Linked DNA regions of Xenopus tropicalis. The protein of the gene in region 1 purifies or fractionates together with the protein of each later gene. This does not show direct contact. Links are inferred from orthologs where the notes say so. Each region holds a gene or a part of one and is shown in the gene's direction. Other genes may lie near its edges.

The links.
Region 2: the proteins of stk24 (region 1) and fgfr1op2 purify together in Homo sapiens (affinity purification with mass spectrometry; 4 studies listed by BioGRID and IntAct, with this or other methods). This does not show direct contact. The link is inferred for Xenopus tropicalis from reciprocal best matches to the Homo sapiens genes STK24 and FGFR1OP2.
Region 3: the proteins of stk24 (region 1) and ppp2r1b purify together in Homo sapiens (affinity purification with mass spectrometry; 3 studies listed by BioGRID and IntAct, with this or other methods). This does not show direct contact. The link is inferred for Xenopus tropicalis from reciprocal best matches to the Homo sapiens genes STK24 and PPP2R1B.

Annotation. Positions count from the first base shown.
Region 1 is NC_030678.2:121,400,118-121,404,554, forward strand, and holds the end of stk24 (serine/threonine-protein kinase 24), read left to right. Parts: intron 1-340; coding exon 341-446; intron 447-924; coding exon 925-993; intron 994-1,366; coding exon 1,367-1,503; intron 1,504-2,813; coding exon 2,814-2,850; 3' UTR 2,851-3,787; downstream 3,788-4,437. UniProt on the Homo sapiens protein: Serine/threonine-protein kinase that acts on both serine and threonine residues and promotes apoptosis in response to stress stimuli and caspase activation.
Region 2 is NC_030679.2:2,583,087-2,587,623, forward strand, and holds the start of fgfr1op2 (FGFR1 oncogene partner 2 homolog), read left to right. Parts: upstream 1-1,097; 5' UTR 1,098-1,201; intron 1,202-4,537. UniProt on the Homo sapiens protein: May be involved in wound healing pathway.
Region 3 is NC_030683.2:84,351,101-84,355,537, reverse strand, and holds part of ppp2r1b (serine/threonine-protein phosphatase 2A 65 kDa regulatory subunit A beta isoform), read left to right. Parts: intron 1-1,671; coding exon 1,672-1,772; intron 1,773-4,437. UniProt on the Homo sapiens protein: The PR65 subunit of protein phosphatase 2A serves as a scaffolding molecule to coordinate the assembly of the catalytic subunit and a variable regulatory B subunit.

The DNA of each region.
Region 1 (4,437 bases):
TAATACATATGTTTTTTGCTGCTTGCAAAGTAGTGGTTATCTTGGGTCAGCATTTGCTGCTCTGGGGGCTTCTGCAAGCAGTTTCAGTTGTCCCTGACAGCAGTGCAGACTGAGTGTCAAATCCTGGGGATAAGAGAAACTGGTAGAGAGACTGGTTGGGTATGCCAGTAGGAATTACAAATGCAGCTGCAAGCTAATCACCTTTTCTAAAACTGTGTGTGTTCTATGAAAAAATTGAAATAATTATAGTAATACAGGGGAAAATTGATCAGGCATAGAGTGCAGGTTCAGTAATAAGAAATAAACCTTGTATATATGTCTGCCTTTGCCCACTGTAAAGGGAAGAAGTAGATCAAGCTGCTGGCAGCGAGAAGGATTATTGGAACTTCACAAGAAGAAAGAGAGACTTGAAGAACTTGGAGCCCATTCCTGCACAGCCAGAAGAGGTAAGGCATAAAGTCTGAGTCACAAGAAAAGTTCCTATTGTCCAGCCATTATACTACAGTTTATATTAATATGAACCAATGACTTATAATGGTAAGTGCTTGCTACACTCCCCAGCCTTGCTTGATATGGGAAAAACATACACTGCCTATTACTTTAAATCTTATAATAAAGTAAGTGCTTAACAATGTCTCCCTCCGATGCTTTTAGGAGTAGTCAAGGCAGCATAATCCCTGTCTTTTTCATTTATTATTATAGCATTAATTGTATTGATGGCAGTAAGAGTCATGTTCTTTAAATGAACAAGAATGGAAAGGGTTATGTGCAGTACTCACCGTCCTCACTTCTCTTTGCTTGTATGTATATATGCTGTATATTAAGAAATATGAATTTTGTCTCTTTTAAATTAAAATAATCATTCTTCTAAAATGTCTGCTTACTGACGAATACTGATTTATTTTTTTTTACATTACATTTAAGGTTAAAGACATTCCCAAACGGCCATTGTCTCAGTGCTTATCTACAATTATGTCTCCTTTATTTGCAGAGGTAGGTACATTTTGTCTATTCTTTGGCTCATTCTTGTTTTAATGAGCAGCTGCCCCTAAGGGTAAGACTGATGCCACATGGGGCTGATTCTCGGCTTGTTGAAAAATGCAGACCAAGAATCGGCACCCTTCGCTGGTATCAGCTGCCTTCTTTGCCTTCACCTGGAGCCATTGTGTTGCCCAGGGTGCAGGCACATGCAGGAGATATTGGTAAAGAAATGCCGCATGTGCCCAGACTCGCACATTTGTTCTGGGTGCAGCCAAAGAAGAAGGCTGATGCCAGCTTAGGGGCTAATTCTCAGACTTTCCCACAGACCGAGAATCATCCCAGTGTGGCATTAGCCTTAGACTTTTGCATTTTTTTCTACTTTCAGCTGAAGGAGAAGAGTCAAGCGTGTGGCGGGAACGTAGGCTCAATAGAGGAACTGAGAGAGGCAATTTATTTAGCTGAAGAGGCCTGTCCGGGTATCTCGGACTCCATGGTATCACAGCTTCTTATTAGGCTTCAGAGGTGAGAACTAACATTTTGCATGGATTTGTTTCTTGCTGATCACATATATCAATGTGTGCGTGAGTGTTGTGTATTTCACCGTGACCTGGTTCTGCATAGCAATAGTTTCAATTTAGTATTTACCACTTGTTTTGCCACCGGGACACCACACAGTAATAGAGAAAAGACAATTTAGTTGGTTAAGGAGTCAAATTTCACACAATTTAATTCAAAGCTTTATACTTAAATGAAACCTTTGGAGCACACAATAACCCAGACAGTAATTTAACTTAATTGTTTCCTTTGGAGAGAGTGGGACCTACCTAGATTGGATTTGGTATGCCGAATGCTTGGAACTTTTTTTTCTTTGCTTCTGTCTCTTGCTCTAAGGCTAAAATATACTAAAATGATATAGTATATGTGACCCCCCCCCCCCCCCCCCCCAAACTTGTAGGCAATAATGAATAATATGTGGTGCAGATTTCACTCAGGGCTAAAAATGATCATTATCTTTAAAAAATGGCCCCTTTTATTGGAGCTCCCTGTAGATTTGCCCTCTCCTTGTTTCAAATAAGGTGTACCAGAAGCACAGTAGAAGCGGGATAGCCAATCACAGCCCTGCAGTCACACACACAATGGCAGGTTTCAGGTCCTTATCAGTTACACCTAGCTGCTGATTGGTTCCTGTCCTACAATGCAGTGTGCTAAGTGCTTCTGGTTCCTTTGCACAGCCTGGGAAAGGAGGCAGTAGGAAGTGAAACAGATGGGTGGGACTGTTTTTGGAGAACTTTTCAATAAATCAGCCTTGCAACACTTATTTTTAAAGCACATTTCTTCTATGTTTAGAGGAGTATAATGCAGTGGCACATTCTAGTTTTTTACTATGGATGTACTAAATCCAGGATTCGGCCTAAATTCAGCTTTTTCCACAAGATTAGGATTTGGCAGAATCCATGCTCCTGGCTGAACCAAATCTGAATCCTAAAAATCATGTGACTTTTTGTCACATAAACATAGAAGTTGAAAATGTTTCACTGTCACTTTGTGTGCGGTTCTCCTTAACCCTTCCTTTTCCTAATCGTCAAATGCAAATTAGGATTTGGGTTGGTTTTCGGACAAATCTTTCACAAAAGAAGAGGATGGCTTGGTTGGCGGAACCCCAGGCTGGTGCTCCAGACTGCCAAAAACTGCACCGGCCCTGGGTTCCTTCAACCAAGCCATCCTCGGGCAAGTGATTACAAACGCTGGGCGTACCAAACGTTTGGCAACCAAAATAATAACCAAAATAATTGGCTGCCCTTCGTTACTCCTTTCCTATTCTTGCATTACAGGTATTCCGTTAATGGAGTGGACTCTTCCTCGCACTGAAGAATGTTTTCCTCCTTTTTAAGGCAAAAATGGACCTTGCATTATTATCCCTATCGTACTTGCCTCTGCTCATGGATATCACAGGACATGGACATTCCTGAATGATGAGTGACTAAACATAGGGAAATGGTGAAAGCTATAGTTTTTATGATTTTCTTTTCCTTTTTTTTTTTCTAATCATAGTACGAATATATAAAAATGTAAAAACAAAAAACTCTGCAAAGTACTGTGATAAGGCAAATGAAGATATTGTGAAACCTCAGGTATCTTGCTTTAAGCAGTCAGTTCTGCTGGAGATGGAATGAAAGCTCTGTGCAATTCTTGTACAATAAATTACTCCATCAGATGCCTCAGCCTTCCTTCCTCAAGCGGCTGTCAGCTCCCAGCATGCCCCAGCAGTTGAAGGGTATGAATACTGGGTAATGCAAATCACAGCAGCTGGAGGGACGTGGGCTGACATCCCAGCTTTACAGTTGACTATTTACTAGAGTTTGCCAACCTACAAACTGACCCAGGGCATCCCTAGTTGCAAGAGGGGAATGGAGCCACACACGCTTTGTGTATGGATTTCATGTTTGGCAGCCATACTTATGTTTTATGTTCATGGTTTAAGTCAAGCGCCAAGTGAGTTTTGTTACCTACATATAGAAGCCCCTTTGGACATCTGTTAGATAAAACCAGTTTAATGTTTTGTCAGAATACATATGACATTGTACAGTATTGCTATTTTCTTCAGAACACACGCAGTGGCATTTAGATATGTCTTCAGTACATTTATCGATACATATTATTTGTATATACTTTAAAAGACAGAGGATCGGTACTGTCACAATGGAGTTTTAATGTTTTTAATTTATAGATATGTCTGAAATATGTAAGGCACAGCCTCATCACTAGGATAAGTTATGAGAATATTATAACCCTATACGTACAGAAATGCCTGCAGTTACATCATTCTATACGTGTCACTGATTGGTCTGTGCAGACAGCGGCGGAGCAGTGTCTGTAGCAGGGAGGATCCTGTGACTGTGGGTGAGTGTGAATGGTGAGCTAGTGTGACAGTAACACCGTGTCAGGGCTATCCTGCGTGCCACCCTCCAGCTGCTGAACTACAACATCCAGCACCCGCAACAGTCACAATGTGCTGGCAGTGCCCCCTGCTAGATGCCACAGGTTTATATATAGAGCGAACACAGTTGAAAACTATTATTGTATTTTCATTATTTCGTTTTTTTCTGCTTTCCCTGATAACATTCCTTAGTTAGTGGGCTATACCTACTAAGCAGGAATGCCAGCATTGCAAACCACATATGCCTAGAAAACTGCAGCCCTATATGGGCTGGGCATTGCCTGGTGTTAGTGTTTCTCCAGGCGATGGCAATACAGCACATACCCAGTTATTACAGCTGACTTCACTTTCATAGACTTGGCACTTGCATTATCACCTTTCATGCCAGGAGTCCATGCTTCTTTTCAGTAGGCCTTGTAATGATTTCCATGTTTACATAACCCAAACATTCTCTCAGCTTTGCTGTATCTATGTTACCTGTTGCTTAGAGTTCAGTTTATGTAGACACAAAAAGGGTT
Region 2 (4,537 bases), on another chromosome or scaffold:
TACAATCTAAGGCCCCATACCATTCCCATCAGCCCCTGCCCCAGTGAGCTTACAATCTAAGGTCCCTATCCCATTCCCATCAGCCCCTGCCCCAGTGAGCTTACAATCTAAGGCCCCTATACCATTCCCATCAGCCCCTGCCCCAGTGAGCTTACAATCTAAGGTCCCTATCCCATTCCCATCAGTCCCTGCCCCAGTGAGCTTACAATCTAAGGTCCCTATCCCATTCCCATCAGTCCCTGCCCCAGTGAGCTTACAATCTAAGGTCCCTATCCCATTCCCATCAGTCCCTGCCCCAGTGAGCTTACAATCTAAGGTCCCCATCACATTCCCCTCAGTCCCAGTGAGCTTACAATTCAATGTAACCAGTTGTACCTATGGAGTGCAGTATATATTTCATATCCATGGTACTTACCCTTTGCCCCCTGGGCTGGGGTGATGCAGGGATGGGGGGAACACAATGGCCGTTACAGACGAGATGCAGGGAGTCTGGATGCACCTGGGGTGTCTCCTTTTCTCACCATTCTGACCTTACAGGGAGAGAGAAGACATGTTGGTGCCGGGGCTACACAAGCAGTAGGGCAGCTCCCACCTCTCATACTATTCAGACTCATGAACTGTAGAACCCCCCCCCCCCCCCACCTTCCATTTCCCTCAAATTCTCTTCCCAGTTCTACTCCCCAAATCCTGCCCCCCCTGCACTCCCGTCCCACAAGTCCTAGGGTGCCCCTGGGTACCCCTGTGTCCTTCCCTACTCACCTCCCGTCACAGGCCTGAGCAGCTCATCGCTACCCCATTAATCGTACGTTTTGCCCTTTCATGCTGTTTGGTCCCTGCCGCTTTCTGTTTTTAGTAGATCTTATCCAGGGGGGCGGGCACTAATCGCCTGGAGATACAGTGATTGGCTAATTTAATAGATGAGCAGGAAGATACTGTGAGCGAATATCCGCTACAAGAGGGCTTTGCGCTGTAGGGAGCCGGACCTCTAGCAGCGAAACGTCTGTGAAATACAGTTTTCCAGTCGGAATTATATTCAGGGCGGCCCTTTGCACCGGAAGTGACGTCCTTGACAGGTTCTCAGAAGGCATGCGCGTAGCGTCACCTGCGGTTTCAGCTGAGTTTGGCTTCACTGACGGGACCAGGGCGGAAACGGAAGGGCTGGGAGCTCTGGGACCGAATCTGCCGCTTGTGGGGTGACAGGGTAAGTACGGGCAATGGCTGGCACCCTCACTCACTGGCACCCTCACTCACTGGCACCCTCACTCACTCACTCACTCACCGGCACCCTCACTCCTACATACACTCACTGACTGACTGGCACCCTCACTCCTACATACACTCACTCACTGACTGGCACCCTCACTCTTACATACACTCACTCACTGACTGGCACCCTCCCTCTTACATACACTCACTGACTGACTGGCACCCTCACTCCTACACTCACTCACTGACTGACTGGCACCCTCCCTCTTACATACACTCACTCACTGACTGGCACCCTCACTCCTACATACACTCACTCACTGACTGGCACCCTCCCTCTTACATACACTCACTCACTGACTGGCACCCTCACTCCTACATACACTCACTCACTGACTGGCACCCTCCCTCTTACATACACTCACTCACTGACTGGCACCCTCACTCCTACATACACTCACTCACTGACTGGCACCCTCACTCCTACATACACTCACTGACTGACTGGCACCCTCACTCCTACATACACTCACTCACTGACTGGCACCCTCCCTCTTACATACACTCACTCACTGACTGGCACCCTCCCTCTTACATACACTCACTCACTGACTGGCACCCTCACTCCTACATACACTCACTCACTGACTGGCACCCTCCCTCTTACATACACTCACTGACTGACTGGCACCCTCACTCCTACATACACTCACTGACTGACTGGCACCCTCCCTCTTACATACACTCACTGACTGACTGGCACCCTCACTCCTACATACACTCACTGACTGACTGGCACCCTCACTCACTGACTGGCACCCTCCCTCTTACATACACTCACTCACTGACTGGCACCCTCCCTCTTACATACACTCACTGACTGACTGGCACCCTCACTCCTACATACACTCACTCACTGACTGGCACCCTCACTCCTACATACACTCACTGACTGACTGGCACCCTCACTCCTACATACACTCACTCACTGACTGGCACCCTCACTCCTACATACACTCACTGACTGACTGGCACCCTCACTCCTACATACACTCACTGACTGACTGGCACCCTCACTCCTACATACACTCACTGACTGACTGGCACCCTCACTCCTACATACACTCACTGACTGACTGGCACCCTCACTCCTACATACACTCACTCACTGACTGGCACCCTCACTCCTACATACACTCACTCACTGACTGGTACCCTCACTCCTACATACACTCACTCACTGACTGGCACCCTCACTCCTACATACACTCACTCACTGACTGGCACCCTCACTCCTACATACACTCACTCACTGACTGGCACCCTCACTCCTACATACACTCACTCACTGACTGGCACCCTCACTCCTACATACACTCACTGACTGACTGGCACCCTCACTCCTACATACACTCACTGACTGACTGGCACCCTCACTCCTACATACACTCACTCACTGACTGGCACCCTCACTCCTACATACACTCACTGACTGACTGGCACCCTCACTCCTACATACACTCACTGACTGACTGGCACCCTCACTCCTACATACACTCACTGACTGACTGGCACCCTCACTCACTCACTGGGCACCCTCACTCTTACATACACTCACTCACTGACTGGCACCCTCCCTCTTACATACACTCACTCACTGACTGGCACCCTCACTCTTACATACACTCACTCACTGACTGGCACCCTCACTCCTACATACACTCACTGACTGACTGGCACCCTCCCTCTTACATACACTCACTGACTGACTGGCACCCTCACTCCTACATACACTCACTCACTGACTGACTGGCACCCTCACTCCTACATACACTCACTGACTGACTGGCACCCTCACTCCTACATACACTCACTGACTGACTGGCACCCTCACTCCTACATACACTCACTGACTGACTGGCACCCTCACTCACTCACTGGCACCCTCACTCTTACATACACTCACTCACTGACTGGCACCCTCCCTCTTACATACACTCACTGACTGACTGGCACCCTCACTCTTACATACACTCACTCACTGACTGGCACCCTCACTCCTACATACACTCACTGACTGACTGGCACCCTCCCTCTTACATACACTCACTGACTGACTGGCACCCTCACTCCTACATACACTCACTGACTGACTGGCACCCTCCCTCTTACATACACTCACTCACTGACTGGCACCCTCACTCCTACATACACTCACTGACTGACTGGCACCCTCACTCACTCACTGGCACCCTCACTCTTACATACACTCACTCACTGACTGGCACCCTCCCTCTTACATACACTCACTCACTGACTGGCACCCTCACTCTTACATACACTCACTGACTGACTGGCACCCTCACTCCTACATACACTCACTGACTGACTGGCACCCTCACTCTTACATACACTCACTGACTGACTGGCACCCTCCCTCTTACATACACTCACTGACTGACTGGCACCCTCCCTCTTACATACACTCACTCACTGACTGGCACCCTCACTCCTACATACACTCACTCACTGACTGGCACCCTCCCTCTTACATACGCTCACTCACTGACTGGCACCCTCACTCCTACATACACTCACTGACTGACTGGCACCCTCACTCCTACATACACTCACTGACTGACTGGCACCCTCACTCTTACATACACTCACTCACTGACTGGCACCCTCACTCTTACATACACTCACTGACTGACTGGCACCCTCACTCTTACAAACACTCACTGACTGACTGGCACCCTCACTCCTACACTCACTGACTGACTGGCACCCTCACTCCTACATACACTCACTCACTGACTGGCACCCTCACTCCTACACTCACTCACTGACTGGCACCCTCACTCCTACACTCACTGACTGACTGGCACCCTCACTCCTACACTCACTGACTGACTGGCACCCTCACTCCTACACTCACTGACTGACTGGCACCCTCACTCCTACACTCACTGACTGACTGGCACCCTCACTCCTACACTCACTGACTGACCGGCACCCTCACTCCTACATACACTCACTGACTGGCACCCTCACTCCTACATACACTCACTCACTGACTGGCACCCTCACTCCTACATACACTCACTCACTGACTGGCACCCTCACTCCTACATACACTCACTGACTGACTGGCACCCTCACTCCTACACTCACTGACTGACTGGCACCCTCACTCCTACACTCACTGACTGACTGGTACCCTCACTCCTACACTCACTGACTGACTGGCACCCTCACTCCTACACTCACTGACTGACTGGCGCCCTCACTCCTACACTCACTGACTGACTGGCACCCTCACTCACACACT
Region 3 (4,437 bases), on another chromosome or scaffold:
GCAGCTCATGCCTTTCCTTAGTCTTTCATTTGCATTATTATCCCCATAACTGCTGCCAATATGATTATCGGTACGTAGTTCAGTGAGTACATTACGCTCAAACTTTATTTAGGCGTAAAGCCTCATACATCTGAGGTAGATATAACCTATTTTTCTTGTTTTATCAACACAAGACAGGTCTGTCAATCTACTGGCTTGTGTTATAATGTTTCAAAAGCCAGAGCCACTAGGGCAAAGAATAGAAAGGACAAGGCAGACACTGCTTTAAATAGCATTTATATATACAAATAAATAAAAAAACCATTAAGTATTTGTAGTTGAGCTGCTCCTTTTAAATGAGCAGTTTTTGCCATTAGATTAATGCTTAATGTTTTAATACATTTTTTGTTGTGTTTTTTTTAAAAAAAATTTGGAGATTGAAGCTACTTCATGTTTGGTCCTTGTGAGGTAGATAGATTACCAGCTGTTATATTCCATCTGCCTGTACATGTAGTTTTCAGGGGGGAATAAGCTATGGTAGACAAGTAAACAAGAGGATCAGGAGCATAGAAACACGGCTTTATTTTTACTCTTCCCAACCACCATTCAGGGTAACTTTTACACTCTTGGAACTTTCGGGGCTTCTCGCAATCCCCAGTAACCTGCACGCTAGGGGACTTGGGCTTCTTACAGAGCCCTGCTAACTCTCCCCTTCTAGTTCACCTGCCACTGGCCAGGCTCACCTGCTGGCAGCACCACACATCCTGCAACACAAGGAGATCTCTGGAGAGAATTACTGTGTAACTCTTATTTGCTGCTTATCTGCTGCTTAATCGGGCAGCTCCCTTCAACTGGGCAAATGCACACTCTAAAGGTGGCCATACACGCACCGATAATATTGTATGAAACCTCGTTTCGTACGATATTCGGTGCGTGTATGGTATGTCGGCGAGTCGACCGATAACGCAGGAAGCTGCTGATATCGGCCGACTCGCCGATCGGGCGCCGTAGAAGGCGCCTGACCAAAATCTCCCTTCAGCGCTGAATCGGCAGAAGGAGGTAGAAATCCTATTGTTTCTACCTCCTTACCTGCCGATTCAGCCCTGAATGGTGTGTGGCGGGTCAGATCGCCACGTGTATGGCCAGCTTAAATAGAGTACAAATTGGAAGGCCTATCCTACTCTCCTTCATCTACTTCAGGGACCCATTTATCTGCCTTTTCCTAGAGAAAATCCAGAGCCTTCCCTTTGTGTGAACGGCAGTCTATGACCCCATTTGATTGGTCACAACACATTGATATCATGTCACGCCTCCCAGTGATGTCATTCCATGCCGCTTCTGGTTTCTTGTAATGGTATTGTAAATACAATAGGAGCTGTGTGGGAGTTGATATGAAGTTTGTGGCTACCCTGCACTGAGTTGTTGCTGGGCCAGTTGTACTTTCACAGAAAATGGTTATTATTGATATTCAAAAAAAAATAAATAAAAAATAGGTGAATGTATGGCTGGGCAGGGTGCAACCCCCATAAGGGTGCATAATATTGCAGATGTTCAAGGACTTTTTTTCTTTGGCATTTAATAAAAACATAATTAAACTTTGCTGTAGAGCCATAAAATCATTGCTTTTGCTTCATAGCTTTTTTTTTTTTTTTTAACTTTTCGTTTGGTATTAATGTGTACTTTTAATTCTAGATACTATATACGATGAAGATGAGGTTCTTTTGGCACTCGCAGAACAACTGGGAAGCTTCACTAGCCTTGTTGGTGGTTCAGAATTTGTTCATTGTCTTCTAGTAAGTACTTTTTTTTCATGATTACGATCTGTTAAAACTAATTTGCTAAAGGGACATTCATGAGCTGTTGTGAAATTGTGAAGCTGTGAATCTTGAAAAGGAATAAATGCGTGCTTGTAGCATTTAGGCCCCTTTTACAGGTAGCAGAAACACACCACCTGCGTGGAGAGTAACTGTCTTGAATGCATACTGCCTGTTACTTTAAGTGATGGTGCATATATAGTGTGTACTGTAATAAGTAGATCGCAGTCAAGACAGCTGCTCCACTTATCAGGCAGAACCACTGGCATGATCAGCTCCAGTAAATAGTTTGTGTTCTTACCCCCGCTTCTTACAATTTCCTCCTTTATTCCATAAAATGGGCAGGCAGGTTAATTACCTCCAGATATGTAATATAGATTGACTCTAGTGTTTAAATGTAAGGGGGAATTAGATTGTAAATTCCACTTGGACAGTGACTTTTTGAATAATCTGTCTTTGTAAAGTTTGTTCAAGCAGCTATCATTCCCAAGAAATATATTGCATTACTTTTTTTGTGAGTTTCTGGATTGCTATTTAAATAGTCCGTTTACTTTTAGAGTCCAAAATTTTTTTGGCCTGCAAAATAAATGAGCATTTAAACTTGGCCTGATTCTTTTTTTGGTTGTTTGCATTCATTATACAAATACTGTATGTAGTTCACTAATGCTTGCTGTGAAGAGTGTCTCTAGTGTAACATTTATAGTGAAATGCAAGGTTAGCATTTTAAGGTATATTTTCCCTTCATTGTAGCAGGCTGCCTGTACATATATCATGGACACTGAAATGTACCTCCAAGGGTGAATTTCATGCCTTTTATATGTCTTTTTTTGCAATCCACCCAAGATCAATTTCTGCTGATTCCCAAATTGTTTCATGACATTTGCCTGAAACTCAGTGCCTGATCAAAACAACTTTCAACTGTTAAAATCGCATGACTTTAGACCATATGACAACAGACAGTTCGTTTTTCTTAGTATTTTTTCCTCCCATTGCCTCAATGTTCTATTGGGTTGAAATATCTGTGTCTTCATTTGCAGCCTGTGAATTGTGTTGTAAGTACTCTAGGGGCAGCGATTTCCCGAAATCCAGAAAACCCCAGGTCCTTAGCATTCTGGATAACAGGTCCCCTACCTTTAGTAGCTTCCATGAGCATTTTTAAGCAGATCTGTCATTGCTACATGTTCTTCAGGCACTGTTTCTCATAGATTACTATGGAAATTAGTGACTGGCTTTTTGAAACGTTTTTTGACGGTTGCTGCTTTCTACCTGATCCAAATACCTCGTATCCCGTTAGCCGTAAGTCTGTGGGAGAAACGTGTGGGTGGGAATGAGCCAACTAACAGCCTAGTAGAGCCAAATTTTAAAATGCTATTTGGATACCTAGTAGTGGCCTGCACTAGTCTTTTCAGTGGCCAGCACAACACCCGAGATTCTGTAGAAAAACTAATATATTATGGGGTTGTCCTTCCTAAATTAACTTTTAGTATGACACAGATAGTGATATTCTGAGACAATTTGCATTTTTTTTTTCATTTGTATTTTATTTAGCTATTTGTTCAGCAGCTCTTAGTTTGACATTTTAGTAACTGGTTGCTAGGTTCTTGTTTACCAGGGGGTGGTTTTAATGAGAGACTGCAATATGAATAGGAGAGGGAAAGGTTTTTGGCTGTCTGGATCAGTGACCGCCATTTGACAGCTGGAAAAATGTAGAATAGGAAGGCGATAATATTTACAGGTTTAAAATAATGAAGACCAGTTGGAGAGTTGCTAGGAGTAGGACATTATTAATGTAAGGGTGAACCACCCCTTTAACATCGTAAAACTGTTAATTTTCATATTAAGGTAAATTGTATAAGTGCCCAAAAGCAATTTGATGGGTATTTTCTGTGAGGTTTAGTAGCACTTTCATTGATGGCTTTTCCCTGGGGAAAAGAAATTTCTTAATAGCTGTGGCCCACATGATCTGATTTCCATTAACTGCTGTAGGGCACTTCCTGCACATTTGAGTGCAGATGAGAGGAGGAGCTTGCTTTGATAAAAACACCTGTATGCTACAGGCCTCCACTTTATCTAACTGTTTGCACAGATTCATACTATTTTATGTGTGTGTAAAACAAAAAGACAGATGGAACTTATACTGCTATACCCCAATGTGTTATCAATTTCATAAACGTACATAAAAGTTGCTCTGTAGACGAGCTTTGTCCTCTGTTGGCTTCAGCTACAAAGTCGCATCTGGCTCCCCACTTCCCTGCCAATCTACTTTGTGCGTCAGCAAGTAAAGCTGCCAGGATCTTAGATCTCTTGTGAGCCTATTCTGCCTTCTGGAACAATCGCCTTGCAAGTGCTGCTGCTGCTGAGACATTAGGTGCCATCTGGGGGGCCCTGCTTCCTTGGCGCCTTTCCCAATTGTGAGCTCAGTTTGGCAGCCATTAAATATTTTTCTCCACGTCACCAGCCCAGTTAAAGCTAATTTATGTGGGTTGATAGCAGATGTTGCTGCATAAACTTGAATAAAACAGGCAGGCCCAGGTGGCAATATACACACATTAAGCTTACATTATTGAATTTAAGGTAATCGGTGATAGGGTCTTGTGCACATTCTAGCAAAGGGGCTCAAAAGTCCTTTAATTCCAAAACTGAG